Alligator mississippiensis: one gene and its partners. The protein of the gene in region 3 interacts with the protein of the main gene of each other region in a biochemical or structural test. Links are inferred from orthologs where the notes say so. Each region holds a gene or a part of one and is shown on either strand. Other genes may lie near its edges. The genes, in order: SDK2, CYSLTR2, PDZK1 and CRHR1.

Region 1 (7,001 bases), on a different chromosome or scaffold from region 3:
GCCCCCAAAACATGAAGTTTCCTGTGATCTGTCACGGCTGCGGAGAGACTCTCGGCCCGAGGGAGATGCCAGGAGTCCGAGGGCAGACGGGCAAGGTGGCGGTGGCTTGAAAACCACCTTGTGACTAAGGCAATCTGGCTTCTGCCCGCTGGGTATGTGAGGCTGGCTGTGTGGGCTGTGATACCCCGAGAGACCCCATGGAGCGGGGGAAGCATGCCAAGAGCTCAGGGCTGCGGTGAGTGCCCTTGGAAGAGCCAGAGCAGTCCCTCTGTCTTCGTTAGGAGACTGCCTGGCTCTGTAGCTCTCTGTGAAGCGTTCTGCCTTCGTGCAGCGCCTGGGATGGGGGGTCGCAGGCATCATCTTCTCACCCTACAGATGCCCCAGCCTTCCTCTGCCCTGGGCAGGAGCTCCCCACATCCCCCCAGCCTCACTGGGCCTCTGGCTGGTGCTGCCCTAATCCATTTCTGCTGCAAAAGGCATCCCAGCACTAGGGATATTTCCAACCGAGCAATGAATAAATGAAGAAGCCAGAGCGATTTCAGCTTAACTGGACTTGACTTTTGCCCCCCAGGGCTCTGAGATCAAAGCGCGCTGCCGAGGGCCTTGGCAAATTGCGCCGGGAGCTCTTCGGGAAGGCATTTCCCATGCCCGGGCCCTGCTCGGCTTGGCTTTGTGCAGGGCAAAGAGTGACAATATCCCTTTCTCTCCCCCAGACCGACTCGGACTGGCAGAAACAGGTTCGGTCGGGGAGGGGCAGTGCACGGAGCAACGGGTAATTTCCACCCGCGGGAACCCAGCGGCAAGTAAATGGCACTGCTGGGTGCTGAGTGCTCCTGGCTGGTAATGGAGCCCCGCTGGGTACCGAACAACCCGGGAAAGGAGTTTGGGTTGCTGATGGCCAGGCAGCGTTTTCACTGGACGTCGGACACCATCATGGTGCAGTGAAGCATCCCGTGGCCGGCCTCGCCCAAGTCCTCCTTGGTCTTGTCTCTTATCCTCCCGAGGGGAAAGGACGGGAGTTGGAGGTGGACACCTCTTGCCATTGCCCCGTTACCCTCTGCCAAGGCAGACCCCAAAGGGCTCGGAGGGGAAGGCGTTTCCATTGTAGACGGAGCCTTTTTCTCTGCCGGAACTGGCCTCGGTCTCCAAGCAGATGTAATTCAAGCCCGGGGAAGTATTTTTGGGTTTGCCTTTGATGCGCCCTCTTCAAGCAAGAGGCCAAATAACAGCGTTGAGACCTGCAAATAGCTCTTCGTCAGCCGGTCCACCACATCCCACAGGCTGGTATTATGGGTTACGTGACAGCTACCCAGTCATTAGACTGGGCTGCTTTTCTTTCCACACCCCATGCCCAGGAAGGCCTTGCATCGTCAACCAAGCTGCTTTGTGTGTTTGCTCCCAGGAGCCTCAGCGTGGGATCCAGAGGGATCTTATGGGGTGCGAGAACAGTAAATGGATCCCTTTTACATACTTGACTGGGGCTGGAGCCTTTTTCTGTGGCTTCACAGAGACGATTTCTAGAGGCAGGAAAAGAAACTCTGGAAAATCCACGTATGCAAGAGGCTCCTGGAAACACCTGCATCTTCCCCGTGCAGGGCTGTTCCCATTTTAAACCAGGTGAAACTGTTGCATGCTGTTGGTGTGTGCATACGTGTGCAACATACTGCAATATCAGCTACATCAAATGTCATTAGTAGGGCAGGCAGGATGCGGGGCAGAGTTGAAGGGTGGCGGTGGCGTTTTGGGGTCACCCAAGACGAGAAGGAGAGAGGGTGACTTGCAGAGCTTGTGTGGGAAGGGAGAAGAGTGTGTGCCTCTATCTGCCTGCTAGTGGATAACAGTCTGCTACTGCTGCCAGCCACAAAGAACTAGCTCGCATAGTTCGCATAGCTTGCATAGTTCAGGCCTGTCGCCCTGCAGAGAGCTGGTGGGCCCGGCACGGCTAATGAGACCCCTGCCCCAAAAGCCTGGCATTCTCTCTGATTTCGGGAGCTGTTTCCACATTCGTGGGACTGGGGAGAGGCAAAAGCCTGCCCCGGTAACTCCAGGCTCGGTCTTTCCTGCTGTTCAAAGTATGGGCTCTGTCGCTCTGACATCTGACCGCTGCTTCCAGGGTCACGGAGGAGGGCGCGTGCTCAGCAGCACGAAGCCTTTGCTACAAAACCAGAACGCGGTCCGGTCTGCCCGGCCGCCATGGGCCACGGGGGTGCCGGCAGACACCGATAACAAAGGGCTGGCTCCTCGGTGGGATGAATTGCAATAAATCCCCATAGTCACTAGGGGCAGGCGGCGGATTCTGAACCCGGGAGAGTTTTTCCAGGCCCCGGCCTTGCAAAGCAGGAGGCGCGTGATCCGGACCGTGGGCAGGCAGAAAGTGAGGCATGGGCATTGGGTGTGTGGGGTCCCCCCTTGTTCCTGGGCTAACGCACCTCTGCTGGCTCCGCAGGCCCCCCGGAGAGATGAGGAGGGATTGGAGCCCCTCTTGGTCCTGTCCTCGCTGCTAAAGAGCCCCTGGGGAATTTGCTGAGCTGTGGTGGGGGTGCGTGGTGCCGGGCCCAGGCAGCCCCACAAGATGCACCACCGACACTCCTTTCTATACCGGTTATTATTCCTCACCGTTAAAATTTTACACACGCGTTCCAACTTTTACTACCCGGGCAGCTCATAAACCTTATTTTAAAGGATTCTCTCCGTGCGTGTGTCCCCCAGGGAAATTCAGTTTGCTCATTTCTTCCTGGATATGCCCTGCTTGGAGCAGGAGGCAGGACTAGATGAGCTGCTCAGCCCTCGTGGTCTAGGATTGTCTGTGCTGCAACCTCTCCTGTTTCGCTTTCCCTCTCCTTTGGATCCAGCTGTCTGATACAAGATCTTGCTCTAGCAGAGGCCTCACCGCGGTGTCTGGGCACCTGGCAGCCCACCCCTCGTTTCTTCTCACAGCCCCTGGCCCGGCAGGCAGGCGGCGCAGTTGTTCCCTGCGGCACAGAGGACGCCGAAGCATGTGGATGAAGTGACTCACCTAAGGTCACACAAGAAAATCTGTGCCAGAGAAAGGAATTAGCTCCTAGTTTCTCAGGGGAGCTCGCTAAGCACCGGGCGTCCTTCGTTGCAGACCCACGCTGGGCCTCTCTGGTCCCATCTGATGGGCAATTCTGCTATTGCAGGGCCAGGCATGTGCTGCTTCTCCAATCCAGGCAGCAAGGGGGTTTATACAAAAGGGTTTCGTCTTCCTTGACACGCACACGTACGTACAGTCCCTTACACACACCCAGACACATGCATGCACATACGCTCCCCTACACACCCACACACGCTTCCCATTACATTGAAGGCTCACACCATCCCTTCCTCCACACATGACTGGGGCGGGCTTGCAACCCCTCCCGGGGCTCCCGGCCCCCTTTCCACTCAGCTCCCTTGCCCTGCCCAGAGCCCCCCATGAATCCAGCCCTGCTGTGCAAGGCGCTGTACAAACCAGCTGCACCACCACCCCTCTCCCCCACAGAGGTTCCCAGCCCCCACGGGCTATCCCCGGTGCCCAGGAGTCACCTCCCTAGCTCCCAGGGGTTATCTCCCCAGGTCTTTAGGGTTATCCCCAGCCCCCTGGGGTTACATCCCCAAACCCCATGGGCTATCCCCAGTGCCCAGGAGTCATCTCCAGCCTCCAGGGGTTATCTCTCTAGCTCCCAGGGGTTACCTCCAGTCCCCACGGGTTATCCCCAGCTCCCAGCGATTATCCCCAGTGCCCAGGAATGATCCCCCGCCCCCTGGGGTTATATCCCCGACCCCCAGGAGTTACCCCCAGCACCCAGGAGTTACCCCCAACCCCCCAGGGTTATATCCCTGACCCCCAGGAGTTATCCCCAGCACCCAGGAGTTACCTCCAACCCCCCAGGGTTATATCCCCGACCCACAGGAGTTATCCCCAGACGCCGGGGTTACATCCCCGACCCCCAGGAGCTATCCCCAGACGCCGGGGGTGACCCGCAGCGCCCCGGGGTACTTGGGGGCCCCGCCCCGCCCCGCCCTGCCAGCCTCAGTGTGCCGCTCCGAGCAAGGGGCGCGGGCGGCCGCCGCCGGCTCCGGGCGCTTTCCAAGCGGCGGCCACCGGGGAGCGCTCTGCGCCGCCGCCGCCGCCTCCGCCTCCGCCGCTCCCGCCCCGGCGGCGCCGCGCTCCGCTCCGCTCCGCTCCGCTCCCTGCGCTCCTCACTCGGCGGCGGAGCCCGGCGCGGGCGGCAGCGCCGGGCGGAGCGGGGAGCCGGCCCGGCCCGACCCGACCTCCCTCGCACGGATTACGGCGCCGCCGCTCCGCGAAGTTGCCTCCGCCGGCGCCGCTCCCGGGACCATGGGGCCGGCGCGGATCCTGCTCGGCGCAGCCCTCGCCTCCCTCCTCGCCCTGCGGCGCGCCCGGGCGCAAGGTACCGCCGGGGCACGGGCGCGGGCGCGGGCGCGGGCGCGGGGAAGTTTGCAGCCGGGCCGGGGGGGGAGCCCGGGCCGCCCGGGACTGAGCACAAAGGGATCCCGGCTCCGAGCGTGCCATTGTGCGGCGGGACGTGGCAGCCGGGCTGGGCTGGGCTGGGCTGGGCTGGAGCAACATGTGCTCGGACCCCGCCGCCTCGCTGCATCCTGCCCCGCCATCGTTCCTGCCCTATGCCATCCTACTCCTGCATCCTGCCCCGCCATCGTTCCTGCCCCGTGCCATCCTGCCCCTACATCATTTCTGCCCCAGCATCCTGCCCCGTGCCATCCTGCCCCTGCATCCTGCCCTATGCCATGCTGCCGTTCCTGCTATGCATCCTACCCCATGCCATCCTGCCCCAGCATTATTCCAGCCATGCATCCTGCCTCTGGTATCGTTCTTGCCATGCATCCCACCCCATGCCATCCCCTCCCAGCATCATTCTTGCCATGCATCCTGCCTCAGTGGTATTCCTGCCATGCCATCCTGCCCCCAGCATCATTCCTGCCATGCACCCAGCCCTGGCATCATTCCCGCCCCATGCCATCCTGCCTCCAGCATGATTCCTGCCATGCCCCCAACCCCAGCATTTCTTGCCATGTATCCTGCCCCCAGCATGATTCCCGCCATGCCCCCACCCCTGGCATTTCTTGCCATGCCATCCTGTCCTGGCATGGTTCCTGCCATGCGCCCTGTGCCTGCCTCCCGGCAGGATGGGACCCCCATGTCCCCAGAGCAAGGAGGCTGCGCCGGGTTTCTGGCTGGTTACAGGTGGGCAAGTTCCTAGCACCGGCTTTGTTTGTTGCCTCTGCCGTGCCGTGTTGCTGGGAGAGCTGCCCCCTTCCCCAGCGGTCCCAGGCCTGCCCCGGTCCCTGGCACCCTTCAGCCCCCTTTCCCTGCTGGAGAAAAAAATCGCCTGGCTTTTGCAAGCATCGGCAGTGACCTGGAAAGGGGTAATTCTCCTCCGTGGGAAGCAGCTTCTCCAGCCCAACCCTTGTGTTCGGAGGTTTTTTGGAGAGGGGACGTGGATAGCATGGGATTAAAAAAAGGAAAGAAAATGAAGCCATCGGGAAAAGATGTCCCTGAGAGCTGGTGTTTTTCCAGTCTGGACCTGAAGAAGCCACTTGCTTTGCATTAAGGAATGGGCTTTCACTATTAACACCCCCCCCCTCCCCTTTTTCCAACCCCACTTCCCACCAGAGCTCCCTGCTTCCAAAGTTTTTTATCCAGCGCCCTTCTGGAAGCTGCCCTAATATTTGGTTAGTTATCCAAACAGCTGCTTTCAATGCCTGGAGCAGCTTTTACAGTGCTTGTATCTCTCCCCAGCACCTTACTCCCTCTCTCCTGTATATCTCCAGACCTGTCAAGATTAACAATACAGCCAGGAGAGATTTATATGGGGAAGGCAGGAACACTTGGCCAGCCGAAAGCTTATTACGGTTCTCGGGGAAGGGGGTGGGAAGAGAGGAGCAACGCCGTGGCCCCGGCGCTGAACTTTATTTATTCTTGCCCAGGGTGTGGGCAGAGCTGCCGGCTGGGCAATAGCCCCGCACTCGGTCTGGAGAGAAGCGTCTGCCCCAAATTTGCACTCCCAGATACAGGCTGAATCTTCCAGGGACCCCCGAGATGCAGGCAGAGGGGAGGGAAGCGCAGCTATAAATATATATAATGGGGCAGGTGGGTTTGGCAGTAAAATGCTGCATAATCTCTCCAGGTAGGTGGATAGTAAATGCCTCTGCATCGCTTTTTTTAGGCGGTTGGATTCCTGGCTCCTCGCGCATTGCTTTTTGCTAAGATTAACCCTGTGGGCGCGCGCGCGTGCGTGTGCATTTGTGCGCGGGTATGTGTGCAAGGTTTGCCCTGGCTGAAGTTTTCCAGCCCCTCCAGGCAGAGAGCCGGTGTCGGGACTTGCCCACCGGTTGCTGGAAAAGCCGCACGCTTTGACTGTGCAAATGCCAGATGCCAGGGTGTGTCCCAGCCCGCCGGTCTGCCCTTCCGGCCTGCCTTCCCCTTCCCTGCCCAGGCTGGGGTTGGCCTCGGCGGCGTGGTAGGTTGCGGTAATGTGAGTAAATTAGAGCTGCAGTTTAAAGGGGATTCAAGGCAGCACAGAGTGAGCTAATGCTGCGGGGCAGCGCGAGACCCTGCGATAAGCTAATCGCCTCCAGGATGCTTATGTGCTGTGCGGACTATTTTCGTCTGCCTTTATCTGAATGAGATGTATAAATAGTTGCCTGTTTCTCTAAGGTGCGGCGTTTCATTCGCCGGCGCCAGCCGATATGGGCTGCTGGGACTCTGCAAAGGCCGTGCCGGAGGGGTCCTGGGGCAGAAGGAAGCGCTGCTCTTTTAGACTTTAATTAGTGCCGAGACCCAAGATGCGCAGATGCTCTTTGCTTAACCACCCAGAGCTGGGGAGCGGAGGGGCGGTCTCCTGGGCTCCCCTCCGGCCTGGCACAACTTTATTTGGTGGAGCCGCGCCTGCAAAATGCTTCGAAATCATAGCGGCGAGGTCTCTCTCCTTGCTGGGCGAGGGCCGAGTGGGGCCTGC
Region 2 (7,652 bases), about 150 Mb from region 3:
ATTGTATTTTGCTAGGGTCAGAAGTCCTGGACTCTAAAAAAAAAAAAAAAAAGAATTAAAATCAGAGTTCTGCAACCTGTTATAAAGTTTGTGTCATGTATCTTTAAAAATATGAGTGAATTAAGCCTGTGTGGTAAGCATAAAAGCTAAGGGAACTGAGGTACAGTGAGGCTAGTACCTTGCTGAAAACCACCCAGCAAGATACTGAGAGCTGCGTATCACCAATAAGATCACAACAGAAAGGAGTAATAGGGAGATTCAAATATTGCCATGGAGAAATGTACCTTTTAACATTTTTAAAAGGGAAAGGGAAGTTGCTGCTTGGGAGTACACATTAGCTGTTGCGATCTAACTCAGAGGTGAAGCAAGGCAACTATGCGGCATGTGGGGTAGCATCAGGCTGCGCTGCCAGCACTGATAGCAGGGTGTGGACAGCCATCAGCTGATGCCCTGGTCACAACCCCTCAATTACATTACCAATCCAACAGTTTGGTAACCTTACATTACCAATCTACATGGTCCTATAATGATACAAGTTACCTAAATCTCTATAACTTTAACCCTGAATGACATGTATCACTACAGAATGATGCAGGCATAACAGCAACAGCAGTTTATATCAGTAGCATTTGATATCAGTAAAATTGTTATATCTGTCTATAGCTGAAGTGAAGATTCATCATAGAACCAACTGGGGAGGGGATACACACCAGGCCTACAGCACAATAGCTAATGCACTTCAGATTAGGTGATTTAGCTGAGACCAGCCACAAAATCTTCCTTGAATTATTGATCCCTCAAGAGTTCTCACAGGTGTTACGTTTATGGTGCATCCAGACAGCCATGGGTCCTGGGGCTATCCCCAGCTGATCCTTAGGAATCAGGTTGGGGCAGCTCCTGGTCCTAAACTAGAACCTGGGACTGCCTGTGCCTGCTTCTGACATTCAGCTGAGGATCAGGCAAGATCAGCCTGGGGGCAACCAGACTTAGATGAATTAAAATGTCTATAAAAAGTTATAGACACTTTGGAAAATTAATAATATGGGTCCTGATTCTGCTCCCTGTCACATCAGAGAGTGGTGGTGGATGGGTTGTTCTCGGCCTGGAAGGAGGTGGGCGGAGGGGTCCCACAGGGTTCGGTCCTTGGACCAGTGTTATTTAATATCTTCCCCAGCGATTTGGACGAGGTTGTGGAGAGTACCCTCTCCAAGTTCACAGATGATACCAAGTTATGGGGCAAAGTTAACACACCGGAGGGCAGGGAGCAGATACCGGCTGGCCTGGACAGATTGGATCAATGGGTGGAATGAAATAGGATGCAGTTCAACAAAGATAAATGTAAGATACTCTACCTAGGAAGGAGGAATCCCCAGCACACCTACAGGTTGGGGGATGACCTCCTCAGCAGCTCAGAGGCTGAGAGGGATCTTGGAGTCATAACTGACTCCAAGATGAACATGAGCTGGCAGTGTAACGAGGCCATCAACAAACTAGCGGAGAGTAGATTTAGGTTAGACGTTAGGAAGAATTTTTTTACAGTAAGGATGGCCAGAATCTGGAACGGGCTTCCAAGAGAGGTGGTACTATCACCTAACTTGGAGGTCTTCAACAGGAGGCTTGACAGTCACCTGGCTGGGGTCATCTGACCTCAGTCTTCTTTCCTGCCAGGGGCAAGGGGTTGGACACGATGATCCATTGTGGTCCCTTCTGACTCTATAATCTATGAATCAGACCCACACCAGTATAACATACTCTTTTATTTGTAACTTACATATGCCAGTGAAATGAGACCAGAATCTAACCTGGAACCATTAAATAATATTGAAAATTGCATGGCCAATCCCACTAAATACACACAAATCAGCCACAAAACAAAGATTACCTAGCAATCTATAACCTCAAGTCCTCAGTTAAGTAAAGAACTAGATCTTAAAGCAACCATCTACTAAAACAAGGTTAAGATTCCTTAGCCTGACAATGTAAAATATATTTCTGTTATATTTTAAGAGAAATAGATTATGACACAGCAGTATTTATATTGGATATGAAAAAAGCAAATTCTCTAGTCTGATTTTAAGAAATGCAGAACATTCACAATCCCAGCTACATTAAATGTACCTGCAAGTGCACAGAAATTCTGAAACACTGAACTCTCTATACCAATGAGGACTTGTCATAATACATCTTTTTAAATGATTTTCTTGATACAAAATACCTTCTCTGCTGTTTAAACCATATATTTTTCTCCAAACAGTTTTCTATGGGATTTCAAGTTTGCCATTAGACTAGCAATGTGTTATTATCTATGTTATATTACAGGCATCAGCTACTGCCCTTTCAGAAAGCCAGATGTACGGACATTGGACAAAAAATGAAGCTCTGATTCACTTTGTCCTGTGAATGTTATATTTCAGTTCAGGATGAGAATTGCCAAACAGTTACTTTCCTTTATTGTTGGTTTGGAATTAGCATTGATTTAAGCTGAACTGTGCAGAGACAGGACATTTTATTCACCCTCACGCACACCTTTTAATGAATTGGTAATTTTGTAAACAAAGATTCCAGTTGATACAATCCGTACTTTGCGCCTAGCAAGAAAATTAAATTCATTCACTCAGATTTTTGGTAAACTACCATTAGTTTATTATCTTTCATGTTTCAAAATATTTGTAATTATAGAAAACCACCTTGATGTCCTTTCTTAAGGAGAAAAGAACCTTATTTAATAAACACCTAATATTTCCAGCAGCTAGAAGACCTCTCGTAAGTAACAGGGGGGAAAGTAGGAGGGGCCTTAGTTACTGTTAATAATCTTTATCAACTTAAATACTGAACTAAAAAAAATTACAAACTTGTCCTACCTTAGTATGTGTAGCTTTCAGTTAATTCAGTACATTAGTTCCTTCTTCAGCTTTTGCTGTTCAAAACTGCCAGCCTGCTAGTGGAGGGGGGAAAAGAACCTACATCTATTTATATCACAACCACAGCCAATGAAAAGTAAAAGGAAGTCAGTATTTGTTAGCAGAAGTTTTATTTCTTCAGAAAGATATTTTCTTAGGTCAAGAAAAGGCATTTGCTCCCATACTACATATATCTCTTGTTCAAAAAAATATCAAAAAAGGCTCTGCAGCCACGTAATATATCTAGAAACTTTTTCTCAACTACTCTCATTTCTATCTATAGACTTCAATAATCAAACCAGTAAATTGTTGGAGTACCATAAAATAATTAAAAAATACTTTCCCTGGGAAAATATTCTATTTTCCCAGTGGGGTGCTGGGAAGAGATGGCCTCCACCTCAATCCACTGGGGAGGAGGCTCTTCTTAGCGAGACTGGCTGACCAACTCGACCGGGCTTTAAACTGAGCCCACCAGGGAAGGGGGGGATTACCACCACTGCAAGCCCACTGGGCAGTTTCTGTAAACCCAGCAGGCTAAGGCACTCAAGGGAACCCACCCCTACGGCAGCCCCAGAGCAATCTGTAGGAAAGGCAAGGACCCCCAATGGGACACTTATTTGCCTGTACACCAATGCCAGGAGCCTGGGGAACAAACAGGAGGAACTGGTCCTCCTGCTAAACCAAAAGGATTACAATCTCATAGGGATAACGGAGACCTGGTGGGACTCCACCTATGACTGGGCCACAGGCATAGATAGCTATACCTTGTACAGGAGAGATCATGCGGACAAAAGGGGCGGTGGAGTAGCTCTTTATGTCAAGGAAAGATATGCATCCCTGAAAGCTGACATTAGCACCCAGGAGGGAAGATTGGAGACTCTCTGTGTCAAAATGGGTGGCGAAAAAGGCATAGGGGTCACAATGGTGGGGGTCTACTACAGATCTCTTAGCCAGGATCAAGAGCTTGACCAGGAATTCGCCAGGGAACTAGCTAAGGCTTCACACTCCCAGTGCATGGTTGTCATGGGAGATTTCAAATACCCTGACATCTTGTGGGAAGAGCACTCGGCCAAATCCGAATGGTCACAAAGCTTCCTCATGTGCATGGATGAGCTCTATCTGACTCAAGAAGTCTATGGACTGATGAGAGGCAGAGCTCTGCTCAACCTGGTACTGGCAACAGGGATGACTTAATCAGTGACCTAATGATCGAAGGGAAGCTGGGAGACAGTGATCATGAGTTGATCACCTTCACCATCTGCCTTAAAGCAGGCAAGCCAGTCAGCAAAGCAGAAGTCCTCGACTTCAGGAAAGCTGACTTTGACAAGCTCAGGAGGCTTGCTGGCGTGGCCCTAAGAGACCACGACCCAAAGTGAAGGGGAGTTCAGGAAGAGTGGTTGCTCCTCAAGGGAGCAATCCTGAAAGCACAAGCAATGTCTATCCCATCTAGGGGGAAAGGCAGCAAAAGGGCACAGCAGCCCCCCTGGGTCTGCAGGGAACTAGTGGACCTCCTGAGACTAAAAGGAAAGGCCTATTAAGGATGGAAGGCTGGATCCACCCCAAAGGAGGAGTACTCTGCACTGGTCTGGACCTGCAGGGAGCGAACCAGGAAAGCCAAGGCTGCAACTGAACTCCAACTGGCTACACGTATCAAGGACAATAAAAAGTCATTTTTTAGATATGTGGGGAGCCAGAGGAAAAGCAAAGGTAACATTGCACCCGAGCTAAACCATATTGGTCAACTGACAACTGACACCCAGGAAAAAGCCAACCTGCTCAATGGGTATTTTGTGTTGGTTTTTCACCAGCCCCAAGGGACGGCCTTGCTCAATATGGTATGGGACAGCCAGGGTGAGAGAGAGCTGTTACCCTTCATCAGTGTTGACCATGTGAAGGAACACCTTGAGAGGCTGGACACCTTCAAGTCAGCTGGCCCAGACAGCTTACACCCCAGGGTACGTAAGGAGCTGGCAGGCATCATAGCTCAGCCGCTGGCACGGATCTTTGAGAACTCGTGGTGTTCAGGCAAAGTGCCTGAAGATTAGAAGAAGTCCAATGTGGTGCCTATCTTCAAGAAAGGAAGGAAAGTAGATCCGGGGAACTACAGGTCCATCAGCCTGACCTCCATCCCCGGGAAGATCTTGGAGAAAATCATCAAAGAGAGCATTCTTGACTAACTGGCTGAAGGCAACTTCTTGTGGGATAGCCATCATGGGTTTGTTGCAGATAGGGCTTGCCTGACCAATCTCATCTCCTTCTACGACCAGGTGACATACCACCTGGACAAGGGAGAAGAGATTGACATTATATATCTTGAATTTAAAAAAGCTTTCAATCTGGTATCCTATAATCATCTTAGTAGTAGTTGGCAGAAGTCAATCATTGTGGTGCGCCATGACCAGTGGGGTCCCCCAAGGCTCTATCCTTGGGCCTATCCTTTTCAACATCTTCATTAATGATGTGGACATTGGTGTCGGAAAAGGACAGGATGGTGATCCAGGCTGGCCTTGACAGGCTTGGAAAATGGGTGGATGAAAACCTGATGGCCTTCAACTCTGAAAAATGCAAGGTACTCCACCTTGGGAAGAAAAACCTGCAGCATGCTTATAGGCTTGGCAGTACTATGCTCGCTAGCACCACGGTCGAAAGGGACTTGCGGGTCATGACTGACCACAAGATGAATATGAGCCACCAATGTGATGTTGCAGCCGGCAAAGCGAGCAAAACTCTGGCTTGCATCCATGGATGCTTCTCTAGCAAATCCCAAAATGTCATCCTCCCGCTGTACTCAGCCTTGGTGAGGCTGCAGCTGGAGTACTGTATCCAATTCTGGGCTCCAAAATTTAAAAAGGATGTGGAGAAGCTTGAGAGAGTCCAGAGGAGAGCCACACACATGATCAGAGGGCAGGAAAACAGGCCTTATGATGAGAGGTTGAGAGCCATGGGACTTTTCAGCTTGGAAAAGTGCAGGCTCAGGGGGAACTGGTGGCTGCCTATAAGTATATAAGGGGTGTACATCAGGATCTGGGGGAATGCCTGTTCACCAGAGCACCCCATGGGATGACAAGGTCAAATGGTCACAAACTTCTCCAAGACTGTTTCAGGCTGGACATAAGGAAGAACTTATTTACAGTCCGAGCCCCCAAGGCCTGGAACAGACTGCCACCAGAGATGGTGCAAGCATCTACTCTGGATTCCTTTAAGAGTCAACTGGACATTTATGTTGCTGGGATCCTGTGACCCCAGCTGACTTCCTGCCCCTGGGGTCGGGGACTGGACTTGATGATCTTCTGAGGTCCCTTCCAGCCCTAATGTCTATGAAATCTATGAAATGAAAAGAAAACATTAGGGTACATTTCCAAATCATTTCACCACTAATAGCATGTGGTCAACTTGCTGGAATTAGCAATGTTGGGAAACCAACCACATAGCCAACTGCAGAAGATGCATCAGGCACTTTGGCACCTAACTGCACACTGGTCCTTAGGAAATTAGATGCCCAGTTTCTACCATGTTTTAATTGGAGATAGATATCCATTTCTCTCAGACTCTTTGAAAAATCTCAGTCATAATCAACTAGTTTACCATTTTCTGTTGCCTTGATGGTAGCTCTCAGTTACACAATGGTTCCATAATATTGCTTTTCCAGATAAAAGGGTCTTAGAATGGGCAAAAATAATCTTCTGAGAACACTCCATAGGCTGGTGGCTCCCTGGGCATTGTACAGCTTGTGTCAAAACTGCTCACACACCCCATAAGAGGATGAGTTGAACAGTTGGTTTTGCAAGTCCTGTAACAGGGGCCCCTAACCTCTCTTACTCATTTGAGAAGGGTGGCATTACATAGCTGCAGAGCCACAGGCAGCAGCTCTAGAGGGCTGCAAGCCGCAGGTTGTAAACTGCAGGCCTCAAGAGCTGGGACCTGCAAGCTGCAGGCATCAAAGACAAGCCTAGTAACTACCTAAAAGGAGCCCCTGTCTCATATGTTTGCAGATGGCACCAAGCTAGGGGGAGTAATAGATATGCTGGAAGGTAGGGTTAGGATTCAGAGGGTGTATCTACAATTGTTGCTATGGCAATATTGTGACTGCACTGTGATTTAGTACTTCCAAAAGGAAGTACTAAATCACAGTGCAGTAACAGCTCATACTGAGTCATACGTGTGACGCGCATTTATTTTTAGCAGCTACTTCACTGTTGTGGTGCACTTTAGTGGGGGAGCGTGTTGCTATGCCAAAATAGCTGTTGGTCACATGTAAACACCCACGGATGCTAGGTCATGGTAGCGCATTGCTACAGCAATGTAGTATCACATGTAGACATGTCCAGAAAGACCTAGACAAATTGGAGGATTGGACCTAAAGAAATCTCATGAGGTTCAATAAAGACAAGTGCAAAGTCCTGCAATTGGGATTCAAAAAATCTCATGCACTGGTACAGGCTGGGGGCTGACTGGCTGAGCAGCAGCTCTGCGAAAACGGACCTGGGTTACAGTGGACAATAAACAGAATATGATCCAACAATGTTCCCTTGTTGCCAAGAAGGCTAACAGTATGCTGGGCTACATTAGCAGAAGCGTTGCCAGCAGATCAAGGAAAGTGATTATTCCCTTTCTATTCAGCACTGGTGAGGCCACATTTGGAGTACTGTGTTCAGTTTTGGGCACCCCACTACAAAAAGGATGTGGACAAATTGAAGAGTCCAGCAGAGGGCAATGCAAATGGTGAGGGGGCTGGGGCATGTGACTTCTGAG
Region 3 (7,181 bases):
CCTATTTGTGACAACTTTTGCTTCAAGGCCCACCATATTTGAAGCCAGCAGACAAACAGGCTGGGAAATTGAAAACATGTACCACTCTAATCCATAACAAAAGATAGGTTTGCCATGTTGGAGCCAGGTCACAGTGACTAGCTGCAGAGACCTTGTGATTTCTGGTTTTGAGGCATCCGGGGCATGTCCAAATTAAGATGCTGGTAAATGATCAAATTAAGATGCGTGCATTTGATGGGTTTGTTGGAACAAAGGAATATGCTGACAGAACAGAATGTGGACAGTACGATGACCACAGGGAGACCAATCAATGATGCCCAGAAATGGAGAGTCAGCAGAGGAGAGAGAGACTACAAAAGGAAGGAATACAAAAAGAGCAGCAAAGGGTTCCTGAGGTGGGATTATGAGGCTACCATGGACAGGGGGCATATCACCAGCCCATCTCACCCACCTCAGTGTGGGGGGAATGGGTGGGAGTGGGTCTCCAGGCTGCTGACATCCAAGAAAACCACAGGGTCAAGCTTGCGTGCTGGCCAGACGTACCTCCCCTCTGTGACAACCCTAGGACTGGTAGATCTAGAATTGGGAGGTAGGAGAGGTGTGTATTTTGTTTGCCTTGCCTGTATTATTCTTGTATACTATCATTGTGTATCAATAAAATTTGTCAATTATTGGATAAAAGGAAGTCCTGGTTGGTATGAGGGTTTGGGTCCACTCAGATTAAGATATCTGGGTCATAAATCCAATGCCAACAATTGGCACCTATTTACAAAGCACCTTTCTCTGGCCAAGTTCAATGTCTGGTTCTCCATACCCAAGCATTGTCTCCACAAATGATACGCTTACTTGGCCAAAAAAGGACTTGATGATTTTTCATTTCCCTTTCTGCTGCTTATGGAGCAAGACTGAGGGGTCTACTAGTAATTTGGATGTTCAAGACCACTATCCTACCTACTGAATCAGAATATTTTATGCATGAGACGACTTATGGAATCCTCAGATTCCAGCTAGTTCATTGCTGAATATTTTAGCAGAAACAGGCAAATAAATATGCTAATCCTAAATTACCTCTTTGGAAGGTAATAGTGTCTGTCTGGAATGTTTCTTTAGCTTGTTGATGTAGCCATGTGGCAGGGACAGCTAGTTCTTTTGCATACTTGGCTATGAATACCACTACTAGGCTGAATAGTACACTATCTCTTTGGGTGCCTGGCTATTTTAGAGAGTTATGTCATGAAAAGGCAGGTTTAAGGTACAGAAAGCAAGCAGAGAAAGCTGCTTCTCTAGGGAAGGCGTCTCAAGCAATCCTGCCAAAGAACCACATTGATAAATATGTCCATGGGATGAAGTGGTGGCTAATTTGGACAATGTAGGCTCTCTGGAAGTTCAGGCAATAATGAGTCGATAATCTATCGGGCTTCAGCAAAAATGGACTTTCTTCATCCTCTCTTTACTAGCAGGAATCTGTGAGATGACCACGGAAAGCTGTGTTGGAGAGATTATACATTAATCACAGCCTAGGCCGATAAAGGCCATCTAATCACCCATTGTAAAACTTTCATAATCACTGCCTTTCACTCTTTATCTTGTGGCTGATGTACACAGGAACACTTACTATGAGGATCTGGCACACAGTTCACTTCAGGCTCTTGATCACATGTTTGCCTTTGAATATACTCTGTGACCACTAGCAGAAAACAACCCATGTCCACAGAGCCCATGAACTTCTGAGCATAGAGAATTTCATCAGAGGCAAAGGGAGTTTGACTCTGGAGCACGATTAGATTACTATGTTGTACAGATGGTCTGGCCTTGGGAAATTGTGGTGCTAACGACAGCTCTTTCAAACCCCCCCCCCCCCCCCCCAATATTTCTAAGAATCACAGATACGTTGAGGGAAGTATCCCGCAAAGTCCAGCACCAGACAAGTTCTGGCTGTGGACTCACCACTCCAAATTTTTAACTATATGATTGATATCCCCCAGAAATTGGATTCCTACACCCATGCACCCACATACATAGACATGCATGCATGCATGTGTAAATACACACCAAGATTATTACAGTCCCTTCCCCTCCCCTGTTGGTAGAAGGGTGTGTGTGGGTCAGCTAGGCTGTCAAAAGTATCTGAAGCACAGACACTTCAGAAGAAGTTTAGAAGGATAAAGGAAGCTTGGTAGCTTGGTGCTCCCCCACTGTCAAGAGAGAAAGAGTAACTTAATATTCTACAATGCCTCCAGTCTATAACGCTTACACCACAGGGGATGTTAAGACTGAAGGAAGTACTGCTGCACCCATTCCCTCTATTCTTTTTAGCTTTTTCCTCAGGGTCTATTCAGAGAGTTCATCTTGACAGAGGTTCTGCTCTGCTCTTTAGCCCATCAACTGTAAAGAGCAACATCCTCTGTTATGTAGAAACACACAATTTACCTATTTCAGTGGAGCTTACTCCTGAAACCAGTGGGCTACATTGATTAAAATTGAAGGTCATAGCAGTCTGTCCGCTGAACACTAGGAATGAGCATTGGTGCTTGAAATCAAAGAAAAACCCCAATGTAGACAAAGCTTACACAATCAGGTGGAGGGGAAGGAAAATTCCAAAGACAAATAGAAATGCCATTCTCAGTGCAGGGAAGCCTTACATGCATGGTACATGGTGGAATCTGCTTTGTAACAAGAAGGAGATTTGGAGGATAGTGAGCAGTGAAGAAGAAAAGGAAATTCCTACCTGTGTAAGAGCTCTATCCTCAGGAATGCTCTGCAGCAGTCTCTCCTGGTGGTTGTAACTGTAGGCACAGCTGGACTTTGGTAGAGCAAAGGTTGATTTAAAAGATGATTTATTTAACTGAGTTTCACTGCATAGGTTATCTACTTGATAACCTGCCTTGGGCCAGCCTGCTGAGCTACAAAGTGCTTCTCCCCTCTCAGCAGCTTTGAATTCCACTCCATGTTCCACTGATTATTACACCAGCAAACTCGGGTTTCTCCAGGAGTGGGTCCAAGACAAGCCTGATCTTTGAGCTTTCCCAGAGAGACAATGAAAATAAGGATCAGGGAAATGTCAACCTGACTGATGGGTGAATGCAGATATATACGTATATGTGCTATATATAGCAAACTTATCTAGACCTTGCATAGGCACTCTAAGTGAGTTTGCAAGGCAGATTGTGGCTAGAAATCAATGTTATTTGTATTACTGCAGCACCTAAATGTCCTAACGAAGACTGTAGCCCCACAGTATTAGGCACTGCAGGAAAAAACATAGTCATAGTGCCTGCCCCAGAGACCTACAATTTAACATAGAAGGAAGACAAAGGGTGGGAAGGAAGCAAGAGGCCCAGCAAAGTGCTTTCAGCAGGAGGACAATAGAAAGCCTGATCAAGGTCAATGGTAGAGCTGGGAATAGGATCCAAGTCCTCTGACTGCCAGTCACTTTATTATGAAGCCCCCGGGGACTGCACAACAGTTGAGGTAATGTGGTGTTGTCATAATGCAGCTTCATTTGATATTCCCTCCATGAGCAGGCTCCATCAGCTTCGTGGGTACTGGAGATGTGTTACAGACTAGTAATTGCTTTAAGAACAGTAATTTAAGCCTATGTAGATGTTCCAGCGAAGTCAGAAGAGAGGGCCAATGTTTGTAGGTAGATTCCAGAAGGGTCAGAATCCATGGAGAAGAGCCTGGCACCTGAGAGGGGGGCTTGGGATACCCTTTTCCCAGAAGGAAAATTCCATACCTGGGAATGGGGTTGTGAATACCCTTTGTGACTGGACAGCAGTCGGTCTCAAAGGCAGGCAAGAGACTGGGTGGGGGTTCTTGTGTAATAGGCCAATGCAATAAGGGTAAAGTTCTTTGGAGAGAATGAGTCAGCAGCTGCAAGCATTGGAGAAAGGACCTCTACGTGGCTCAGAGCACTTGTCAGTGTGGTCTGCGTGAGAGGCCCTCCACTGTGTCTGAAAGCTTTTAATGTTCAGCATGGCCTACCCCATGTGCTCAGAAATGATGAGATTGGCCCCCAAATCATGAAATTGACTTAAAAAATCATAAAGCAGGACTTTTATCGTTTGCTTTTCTGATTTCTGAGTCATTTAGGGCATGTTCTTAAGCACTGTTGCACATCTGATGTCTAGACCCTTAAAAAGCACAGCTCATGTAATCATACGCCCCCGGGGAGCTGGGTTTGTGGTCACTTAAGGCCTGTTATGCTCCATCTCATGCTTATTTCTGTTGCAGCAGAGGTGAGTGTGGGCATTTCTGCACCCTGGGCAGGGGTGGCTTGTGGGTCAGCATTAGTGGCAATGCTGCCAGCAGCAGCGTTGGCTGGGCTGCTGTTTTTGCAACCCACCCCATAACTCAACCTCCCCCTATGTATCACTCAGCTATGTTACTGCATTGCAGCTGTGTTCTCTTTGTCACATTATTAACATTTGGGGAGTAACTACTTTAAAATAAGCATGTGTTTTCTCCACTTAGGAACTCCTGCTGGAATCAGATGCAAGCTCGGAGCAAACTCTGTAAAGCTTATCTGTGCTACCTAAGGAGTTATCTGTTTACAAGCCATCATTCCAGATTTATAGCAGGGATAAACTATAACTCTGCCAATTCAACTGTATGCTGTAGTGCCTAACTGAGCTAAGGTTACAGTATCATATTTGCAGGGTCTCTCAAGGGAAGAAATTTTTGTTTGATTTTAGGATCTTGGTGCCAATCCTAGGTTTTACTAAGCATACAGTAAGGTGGTGCAGAAGACTGTGAGTAAAATAACCTTTGGCACTTCTATAGCACTTCCATCCCAATGAGAAATTGTAATTATTGCTGCCCCCATTGTTCAAATGGGGAAGCAGACAAACATAGAGATAGGCTTAGAAACTGTGCAGAAACACATCCTGGCTTGTTAATAGACACAATGAAGCACAAAAGATTACAGATCATTAGAAAAACAAGCAGATTCCCCTATGCAATACAGCTCAGTCTAGCTAACGCTGAAGGCTGAAGTGCCCATCTCTATTTAGCCAGGTAGGCAGTTCATGATTTATCCTTTCCGACTTGGGCTAGAGACAGTACACATAAACCAGTTTAAATGCTCAGAAACTGGCTTAAATCTGTAACAGAACAGGCATTCAGTGGACGTTAACCAGTTTCAAAATGGCCGAAATCAGTTTGAGATAAACGTGGTTGAATGTAGACTTAACTGATTTGGCTCAAACCAGTTTATGCAATGTCTGTCTCAGACCCCTTCCTGGTTTAACTTAAACCAGAGTCCCCCAGCATCCCAGCATGCTCTCTGGGCTGCCTTCTCTGCTCCAGGCTAGCAGGGCTGACCCCACTGCTTCCCAGCCAGGGCAGGGGTAGGGGTCTGGCCAGAGAATGGTTTAATTCCCCCCTCTCTGTCCTACCAACAGGTCTGCCAGGAGCTCCCACCTCACTGCTGCTGCACCATGGCCCTGAGGCAGAGTGGGGCAGGAAGTGGGGTTAGTTTCCCCTCTATCCTCAATGGCAGCCAGGTTTTCCCACCATTGGTGCCATGCTCACTCCCTGTGGCAGAATAAGTCCCCGGCTGTCCCCTCAGCTGAATGCGAGAGGGAGGGGGAATAACCTCTGTCCCTGCCCACCCCACCAAGGGACCCTGCTGGCCGGTGTCTAGCCCTGCCCCCTCCCTGCCGCTGCAGTGGGAGTGGGCAGAGCCCTTAATGCGGGCAGCAGCCCCTGTCATGTCAGTGTGAGCCTCATGGGCAACTGGTACCACCTTAGTCCGGGGGGGGGCACATGGCACCCCAGTGACCAGTCAGCGGGGGGACTGAGCGGGGGGACGTCCTCTTGCAGCCAATCTCACTGACTGGGAGGGTGGGGGTCAGTGAGCCATGGTGCTCCCACTCCCCTGCCAGCGCTCGTGGGGGGGCACCAGCATTCCTGCCTGCTTCCCCTGCCTGTCACCTAAGCAGCAAGCATGGCTGGTCAGGGGCTGCACCAGTGCTCTCAGGGGGTGCACGTGCACCCCTGTGCACCCCCTACATGTCACCACTGATGAGCCCCTTCCCAGTGGGGGCTCTGCACTGCGGGGTGGGCAGAGCTGCAGTGGGCTGCCTTCCCAGCAGGGGGGCCACACTGTAGGGCAAGGAAAGCTGCTGTGGACCATGGCAATGGCAGCGCTGTGGGGGCTTAGGGGGCTCTGGCCCCTTCCGGACCCTGGTGCTGCCACATGCAGCCTGCTGCAGCTCTGCCCACGCCATAGTGCAGTGCCCCTGCCTGGAAGGGCTTGCACTCCCTGACATTATGACAGGGGCTGCTGCCCCCATCAAGGGCCCTGCCCCCTTCCACTGCAGTCGTGGGATGGGGGTATGGCCAGAAGTTGGCTGGCAGGGCCCCTTGAAGGGGGGCAGGTAGGGAGGGGGGTTAGTCCCCCTCCCTCCGGTGTCCAGTGGAGGGGACAGCAGGGGGCTTGTTCCGCCTCAGAAAGGGAGCGCAGCACTGACCGCAGGCAGATCTGGCTGCCACTTTAGTTAGAGGGGAGACTAACCCCACTTCCTGGCCCCATCTGTCTCAGGGGCCATTGTGCCCTGCTGCTGCAGCAGCAATGAGGGAGTGCCTAGCAGACCTGGATCAGGGCCCTGCTGGTGGGACAGGGAATGGGGAATGAAATCCCTCTCTGGCCAGTTCAGCCCAGGCTGGCCATGGCCCCGCAGCATAGCTTCCCTGCAGTCGAGAATGTGCTCTACCACCTCCTGGCGCCTGGCCTGAGCAACTGCAGGCATGTGCCCTCAGTTCCTCAGTCCACTGGGAATGTCTATCCTGTTACAAACTGGTTCAACCTGGGCAGGTTAGATTAACCTGCAAGGGTTGAATTAATTCAGGCTCTGGCATTTTGGATGTCTGTCCCCAGCCTTGCAGATACACCTGGTCTCTTCTTGTCAGGGAAGACAGCTCAGTCACTTCCCCTTCTGTACAAAGCATCTGGTTTGTTTTCCTGCTTGGGAGCCTTTTCCAGCTCTGCTTCGCCAGTTCTGTCTCTTCATCTCCTTTCTAGTAACTTCCCACATTTTCCAGGCAAGAGGAAGAAGAACCAGTAGTGCTTTCCAGGTACCCACAGTATGCTTCAGGACCTCAGTCCCCAAAGAGGATTAATGTTTTCAGTTTTCTTGCCCAGGTGAAATGTTTCTTTTTTCCAAAATCCCTGATTTCTG
Region 4 (7,508 bases), on a different chromosome or scaffold from region 3:
TGGCTTGGTTACCAGTAACATTCGAGCTACAGCAGCACAGAGCTTAACGCAGACTGCAAAACTCATGCAGGAAGGGGGATAAATTAGTTCACGATGAGAAATTTGCTTCTGTGCATACACTGTGATAGGGACCCGAGTTAGCTCCTCTCAATCTAGCTGGGTGTGTGACCACATGCCATGCAGCTGTTGATGCAACCACAATATAGACAATCAAGACTTACAGTACAGATGATGTTTTATAGATAAAATCTATATTATATATCATCTCTATTATATAAAAATATAGATTTCATCTATAAAACATATAATCTCTACTACGAGTCCTGATTGCCTTTTCCTCTAGACCAATATGGCTACAACCTGGATACGACACACAGATATCAAATTTTAGCCAATTAAAAAAAAATAAAAAATGAAATCTTCATCTTTTCCCAAGCAGGAAGCCACTGTGACCACCTGAAACCTGAGCCTTTGTTTCAAGGTAATTTGCATCATTGCAGATCCTCACAGGAGGCGAGAGGCTTCATACCAGCTATGAACTGACTGCCCAGAGGAGTTTTCCATCTATGGAGTCCTCTATGAAATATGAACTTTAATTTCTACCCAAGAGAACTTTTACAGTTTTTTCTCCAATGCCTGATGAATGGTGTTTGTGCCCGAAAGCTTGCAATTAAAGAATTTTTTTTTGCAAAAATCTTGTTTGTGTGATAAAAGATATAAATCTCTACTACGAGTTCTGATTGCCTTTTCCTCTAGAACAATATGGCTACAACCTGGATGCCTACCACAACACAGACACATTCTTTGTGTTTTCTTCAATGCCACCTATGCCTATGGTAATGGAGTGACTTCCAAGCAAGACTGGGAGTACTAGGAAAGTACCCAGTGGCTTTCATGGAGCCTCAGGAACATCTGCACTTCTAGCAAGGTTTTAATTAAAAGCAAATAATTGTTAAATTAATCTACAAGTTGTTCCTGTGTTTACCTTTCCTTTATGTTTTCTGGTGTGGGGCTAGTTAGTGCAGGTGAGACTGGTCATACAGTCATTCGGTATCAGTTGTATTTTTTTGTCTGGATGAACTCAAACTCAGTCCACGGAGGTGGCACCAGGCATGTATCTCTTGAGGAGACCCCATCAGAAGTGGTTCTAGACTACTCCCAGCTGCAGAGCAAGAGGGTCACATATTTTTTTCCCAAACCTGGCAAAGACTTGAGCAGCACAAGCAGCCGTATGTGCCTGGTTTGCCATGAAGACCATAGAGAACTGTTAACTCTACCTAGACACTAGGCAAGGGTAGCAAGCTCCTGGTCTTTCTGCACAGAGAGGCCATCCCCAATAGCAACTATGGAAGGTGCACACTCGAATGGGCAGAGAAAACTAGTGTCTAGGGTGGCCCATTGGAAGTTATCTGAAGTGCAGTACAGTTCAGATAACCACCAAGACCCTAGATATGGAGGTGCCTTGATATATCATTTTCTCAGTGAGCTTGGTTTCCTCTCATCTCTATTTTCACAGACAGTACTAGAAATATTGGTACCTAATATGCCCATTTTTAACTGATCTCAGTTTAACAAAATGCTCAGGATAAAATTCTGCAGGACTGGCTTCTGGCCAAAATTAATTAGTATTTGGAAGAAGGGATGGGGAAAGGATACACCTATTTAATGGAGACAAAAGGTCCAAATACAAGATTATGGACATGCATACCCTATGCACAAGCAGCAATCTCCATCATTTTATTAACAGAAAGCAGAACCACCACCATAGAATTTAATTTTGAAAAACTCCATGAATGCAGTATTTCAGCCACACAGATAAGACAAATGAACAGATAAGACAAATGAAACAAAGTCAAGAAGCGTCCAAAAGCGATGTTATACGAATGTTAACACTTACTGGCAAATACTGGCCCTTACGTAGGGCTTTTTACCGTGTTTTTCTGTTAAAAACATGCAGCTAAATGCTGCTTCTTGTTCATGTTGTAAAATGGATAGCCTCAGACATCCCCGCAAGATGCAAAACACAAGGTAGTAAAGGTGCTAAGGGAGCTTGAACCTCTGCATTTTCTGTCATTTTAACTATGCAGATAGTACCACTTCAGTCTTCCAGAACTGACATGTCTTTGGCAACTCATTTTTTTAAAAACAAAGAGCCAACATTTTTCAAGCCCATCTCTGCCTTCGTTTAAAAAAAAAAAAAAAAAAAGTGTTCAGCATTTGAGTAAGACCCTGTATTTGGCAACTCCCCCAAAATCCTTGGCTCTGTGCATTTTCTCAACAGAAACCCTAAACTTTTCAGGAGGGGGGGAAACAATCCTTGCCCAACCAGCGCAGATATTTGCAGCTGACAGAACTGGAAGATTCAAGTTGCAGTCAAAGCACTTGAAACCAAAGGGCATTTTCCTCGGAAAGCCTTTGAATGTAGCAACGGGACTGGCAAGGAGGGTAGGTAGCAAAGCACTGGAGCAGAGACACGGGGGGAATCGCTCAAGTCTCGGAGATTTGTAAGACCTGAACTTGGACTTGGGTGGGATGATCTAGCTGGGGCCGGTCCTGCTTGCGGCAAGGGGTTGAACGAGGTGTCTCTTCCAACTGTCATGTGCTGCGAGCTCTTGCTCGCCCATTCATTGCAGCCAGGACTCCCCCAGCCCGCTCTCCTGGCTGCCCGGGCGAGAGGACAGGAGCGGGGCAGGGGCAGGAGAGCTGGGACGGCCTCGCCCCCGCTGCCCGTCTCCTCTGGCGGCCGGGGGAGGGCAAGAAGCCGCCCGGACCTTGCCCCCGGCCACGGCGGCGCGCATCCCGGGAGCCGAGCGCACCGGCTGCCCCGGCCTGGGCTTGCTCCTTCCTGAAAGAAAGTCAGCGCGGGGAGCAGCTTACCTGGAGGAGGAGGAGGAGAAGGAAGAGGCCGGGCCGGGTGCAGGGCACCATCCTGCGGCTTCTCGTGCCACGCTCCCGGAGGTAGGGGTCGGGCTGACGAGCGGTGCGGCGCGGCCCCCGCCTGCTTTTATCCGCCCGCCGCCGCCGCCGCCGCGCAGCTCCCCGCGCCGCTCCTCCCCCGAGCCCCGCGCCGGCCCCGGCCCGCGCCCCGAGCCCCCGCCGCCGGCCGGGCAGGGGGCGGGAGCCGCTGGGGCAGCGCCCGAGACCGGCCCGCCCCTCCTCAGGGCAGCCGGCAGGACTCCTGCCTGCCCTGGCCTGGAGCAAGCCCGCCCCGCAGCCTCCTGCCCTCTCAGTCAGAGATGTTCGGGTCCTTGGTAGGTCATGGAGTCGGCCCCCCTGCCCCGGGCGGGACCCGGCCAGGTGCCTGTCCAGTCTCCTCTTGAAGAGGTCGGGGCGAGCACCACCTCCCTTGGGAGCACATCCCAGACTCTGGCCACCCTGCCCTGCCCGTGAAGAAGTTCTTCCTGATGTCCAAGCTAAAGCTGCTCTCCGTGGGTTTTGTGGCCATCCGGGTCTCCTATTCCCTGCTGCCCTCCCCTGATGAATTATATAGGCCTGTTGCAAGCCCCCAGGCACCTAGGGGGTCACCTGCCAGCCTCTTGGTGGGCCTGGGCATCACCTGTCCCCAAGGCCCTTTACATCCCTCTGAGCTCCAAGGATGAGGTCCAGCCCCGCCGTGGACATCCGCTCCCCGGCAGGTGCTGCCCCTTCCCGTTCTGAAGAGCTGCGGCAGTGGGAGGGGGGATACATTGGGGCAGCGCAGCCAAGAGTCCTGGCTTTCTCCTGTCCTGCTGTAATGGTTGTGAACTCCTCCAAGACCGTTTTACACTGGACATAAGGAAAAACTTCTTTATGGTCCAAGCCCCCGGGGCCTGGAACAGACTCCCTCGGGAGGTGGTGCGAGCACCTCCCCTGGACTCTTTTAAGAAACGTTTGCATGCTTATCTTGCTGGGATCCTTTGGCCCTAGCTGACTTCCTGCCCCTTGGGCAGGGGTCTGGACTCGATGATCCTCCAGGGTCCCTTCCAGCTCGAATGTATGAAATCTATAAAACCATTGGGCCCCTCTCGCCTCTCCAGCAGGCCTTGGGAAGTGTGCCTGCAGCATGGCACAGAGAGGGCACCTGGCCCAGGGGGTGCTGGCTGTGTGCCTCCTGTCACTTGCCCACAGAATGAAGTCAGTGCCCAGCCGTCTCTGCGCCTGAATCCTGCTGTTCCTGGGCCTGCTATAATTTCCCAAATTGATTCTGAAACAAAGCTGATGGAGGCATCTGCCCAGCACTTTTGGACTGAGTAATTTCCGGTAGAAATGGGTAGAGGGGAGACCCGACTCCATTATCTTCAAGCAGTGGGTACTAATGCTGCCCCTTGCTATGCCAAGATATTGCTGCCTTGCCCTGGTACCATCCAGCTCTCTGTGGCACCCCTTGGGTGGCGATGCTGCCTGCCGTGGTACAGCTAGGTTTGGGCCCTTAGACGGTAGCATTTTTCTTCTGGCAGCATCTCCTCTACTAGGATCTGGGGCTGTCCTGCCTGGTGAGGAAAGCCCTCTAAGATTTTCTGCAGTAATGCTGCCACCACTGTGCTAGTGCAGGGCTAGAGGGCAGACACCTGCAGGCACTACACAGACTTTGTACAAGCATTGCTTTGGGCTTGAAGGAGCCAGCCCCAGGGAAGGCAGTTTTAAATGTACCTGCTGGGATGATTCAGCAGGAGGAAAACCAACCAGTCAGCAAGATTTTTTTTTTTTAAATTAGTAATGAGAAGTCAAGGTGAGTAAGTGTGCCAGAAACTGCACAGGAGTGAATGGGAAACCTTCCTGGAGGTTTAGTTCAGTCATGTTGCTTTGAGCAGGGGGACAGCCTGCCCTGCACCTAACTGCAAGTGACCACTCGGACCTCCCTTCTGAGCACTTCCACTGTGGGTGTAATTGAACTGAAGTCAATCCCTTATACTCCAAAAACTGGGGAGTCCTCCCCCTACACCCTGTTGCAACAACTACCTGATGCTATGGGTTTTGTCTTTGATGCAACGCATTGTTTCTGATAAAAGTCTTGTGTGGCAGCATGTAGCATGGGCAGGATGGATCCTAATCCTTTCCAATCCTGCTCCTGCCAATCCTTGTGATCTGGAACAACACAGGGGTGCAAAGGACTCTTGACAGGTAAACAGAAGGTCAGTGCTCTTTGATTTATTCATGCCGATAGTCTGACGCTTGCCCACAGGCCCTGACCCTTTTCCTGCCTCTTCAACTGAGGAAAAATGATGTCCTGCCAACGTCTTTTAAAATCTGATTGTCCAGCCCCAGTTAGATTTCCATAGCAACTCGTCTCTTTCAAACACGAAGGCTGAGGCTCTAACGCATGGCTTTCCAGGCATTTCAGCCCAGGTGAGTGCCTCCGTAGATTTGTATGGGACCCCCGAGCGATGCTCAGCTGTGTACCAGCCCATTCCCTGAGGCTTGCTAAGCCCTTTGCTGATGATAGGCTCAACCACTGCTCTCCCCAAGAGCTTTCATCAGGATTATCAGCTTGGTTTTGCTTAAGGGAGAGCAGAACACAGGGAAGGGAAGTTGCTATCTCAGAAAGCACGTGGTATGGAGCCAGGACCCCTTACAGCGCAAGATGTCTGTTTGACTCCTCTTTCCCCAATGACATAATTAGCCTCCCACCCCCATGGGCCGGGAAGTCCTGCCATGGCAATAGCTAGAGGGCCAGTGAGACTAAATTGAGATCCTCAAGGAAACTAAGCCAAACTCCCTCGTGGAGCAGGACCTAGGCACCTTGTTTCCTTTGCAGGATCTTAGCCTAGGTGCCAGAGCCAAGGTCATGCAGCAAAGAGCTGAACACCAGTTCTCAAAGTCCTGGATCACTTGGCAAGCCTGCCTTTTTACTCTTCCTGCTGGACCAAACTTCCCCCTCCTCCACTCAGGGCCAGGAGATATTGGATTCTCTTCTCCTGGCTAGTAATTCTCAGGAAATGACTGCACTTCTTGCAACTTTGCGCTAGGTTCCTGAGGTCCCAATTCCTCCTCCCTACTCTCAAGCAGAGGTATTTTTAGAGGGAGAGGAACTTAACGCTTAATGTTGGGGATTGTCTATGCTTCTGGTGGCTGTCTATGCTTCTTGTTCTACTAGGGCTGCTGAGGAGCTGGGAGGAGGTTCAGGAGGAGTCCCAGGGCTGGGAGGAGCCGTGTGTGCATAACACTTTAAAGCCGGCTAAATGCTTTTGCATCGCTTTAATGGTGTCGGTGTTTGCATGCCTCGGCAGTGTATTGAACGTGAATTCTAGCTGCTGTAGGAAATTTGGTGGTGTAATATGCCTTAAATGACTTGGGGCGCAGCAAACTAAAACTCCTCGAAGGAGTTTTAGTTTGCTGCCCCTACAACCATGGAGCAAAGCACTGGGCTCCATGCAGTTCCACAGCTCTGTAGGAAGCCCTGCAGGCAGCCTGGCAGCAGCCCGGTGAGCCTGATCTTATTTTTTCCCCACTCCTGGAGCCCGCCTGCCTGGCTGAGCTGCAGGGGCCTGGTGCTTTCCTCCCTGGCTGCGGTGCCCCCCGGGACTGCCACCTGGTGGGGGTGGGAAGCCGGGGAGCCACCCCTGCTGTGGAGGGAAGCACCAGCCCTCTCCCCAATGCACACACAGCACAGGGACCGCTCTGCCTGCTGGCAGCTCGCCCTCCCCTCCCTTCGGGAGAGCCAGGTAAATCAGTGGGGTGTGTGCTAATCTAAGCACTCTAGAGGCTCTTTAGGCAGCATGCCCCTTTGTCTACCTCTAGGTCTAAGGGTACTATTCTTACCTAACTTTCCAGTAGGATTTTAGTAGAAAAGGGACAGTTGATAGGGTGGTAGGGGAGACACAGATGCAGCAGCCTGGGGAAAACTTGTAGATAGAACTCGACTCTCCTCACCCTAGTTTCATGGACTTCGGTGGATGATTTCCTGAGAATCAGGCCTGAAGTCTTCACATTCTGTCAAGAAAGCAAATAGGTGCTAAGAGTTGCTTTGACAGATGTTATTTGAAACCCCAAAGAAACCAAACATGTGATCCTATGGCCCCATATCCAGGACAAGATGATTTCCTAGTCAGATTCCAAAGTGGGTAATGACATGCCACCTACCTGGACTGTGTGTCTGCATTTTCAACCAGATGCAGAATTTTTCTACACCTCTCTGAGTAAATCTTTCAGTTTTTTTGAGCACAGATAAAACACCTCTGTTCCACTCCAGAGTTTGTTGCATTTCAGGAACAAGCAAAGTAATTCCTGTATATATTTTGGGCTCATTGGCATCATGCAAGTTATTTATTTGGGTTCCTGAAGAGCATATTATATTGGCACTTCCATTAAAAGGAATGATACAAAGGAAAATTTTGAGACATTATCAAATGGGTAATGGATAAAAGGGCACCAGCAGCTGCTTATCCTTTGCCTGTGCCCTGAAAGGACAGATGCCCTTCTCTGCATGCAAAGGAAGGAGAGGAATTCTAGTCACAAAAGTAGGTGGGCACTCAAATCCTCTCCATGGCTTTCTCCCAGCTGGTTTCAGTCGCTCCCTGCTCTTCTTGCTG

The links.
Region 1: the proteins of PDZK1 (region 3) and SDK2 interact in a test that uses a peptide from one of them, tested with the Homo sapiens proteins (2 studies listed by IntAct, with this or other methods). The link is inferred for Alligator mississippiensis from reciprocal best matches to the Homo sapiens genes PDZK1 and SDK2.
Region 2: the proteins of PDZK1 (region 3) and CYSLTR2 interact in a test that uses a peptide from one of them, tested with the Homo sapiens proteins (2 studies listed by IntAct, with this or other methods). The link is inferred for Alligator mississippiensis from reciprocal best matches to the Homo sapiens genes PDZK1 and CYSLTR2.
Region 4: the proteins of PDZK1 (region 3) and CRHR1 form a complex in vitro, tested with the Homo sapiens proteins (2 studies listed by BioGRID and IntAct, with this or other methods). The link is inferred for Alligator mississippiensis from reciprocal best matches to the Homo sapiens genes PDZK1 and CRHR1.

The regions. Positions count from the first base shown.
Region 1 is NC_081831.1:2,115,646-2,122,646, forward strand, and holds the start of SDK2 (protein sidekick-2), read left to right. Parts: upstream 1-3,980; 5' UTR 3,981-4,342; coding exon 4,343-4,415; intron 4,416-7,001.
Region 2 is NC_081824.1:413,727,829-413,735,480, reverse strand, and holds the start of CYSLTR2 (cysteinyl leukotriene receptor 2), read right to left. Parts: upstream 3,004-7,652; 5' UTR 2,862-3,003; intron 34-2,861; 5' UTR 1-33. UniProt on the Homo sapiens protein: Receptor for cysteinyl leukotrienes. The response is mediated via a G-protein that activates a phosphatidylinositol-calcium second messenger system.
Region 3 is NC_081824.1:268,601,642-268,608,822, forward strand, and holds the start of PDZK1 (Na(+)/H(+) exchange regulatory cofactor NHE-RF3), read right to left. Parts: upstream 3,022-7,181; 5' UTR 2,729-3,021; intron 1-2,728. UniProt on the Homo sapiens protein: A scaffold protein that connects plasma membrane proteins and regulatory components, regulating their surface expression in epithelial cells apical domains.
Region 4 is NC_081827.1:156,222,975-156,230,482, reverse strand, and holds the start of CRHR1 (corticotropin-releasing factor receptor 1), read right to left. Parts: upstream 3,007-7,508; 5' UTR 2,929-3,006; coding exon 2,878-2,928; intron 1-2,877.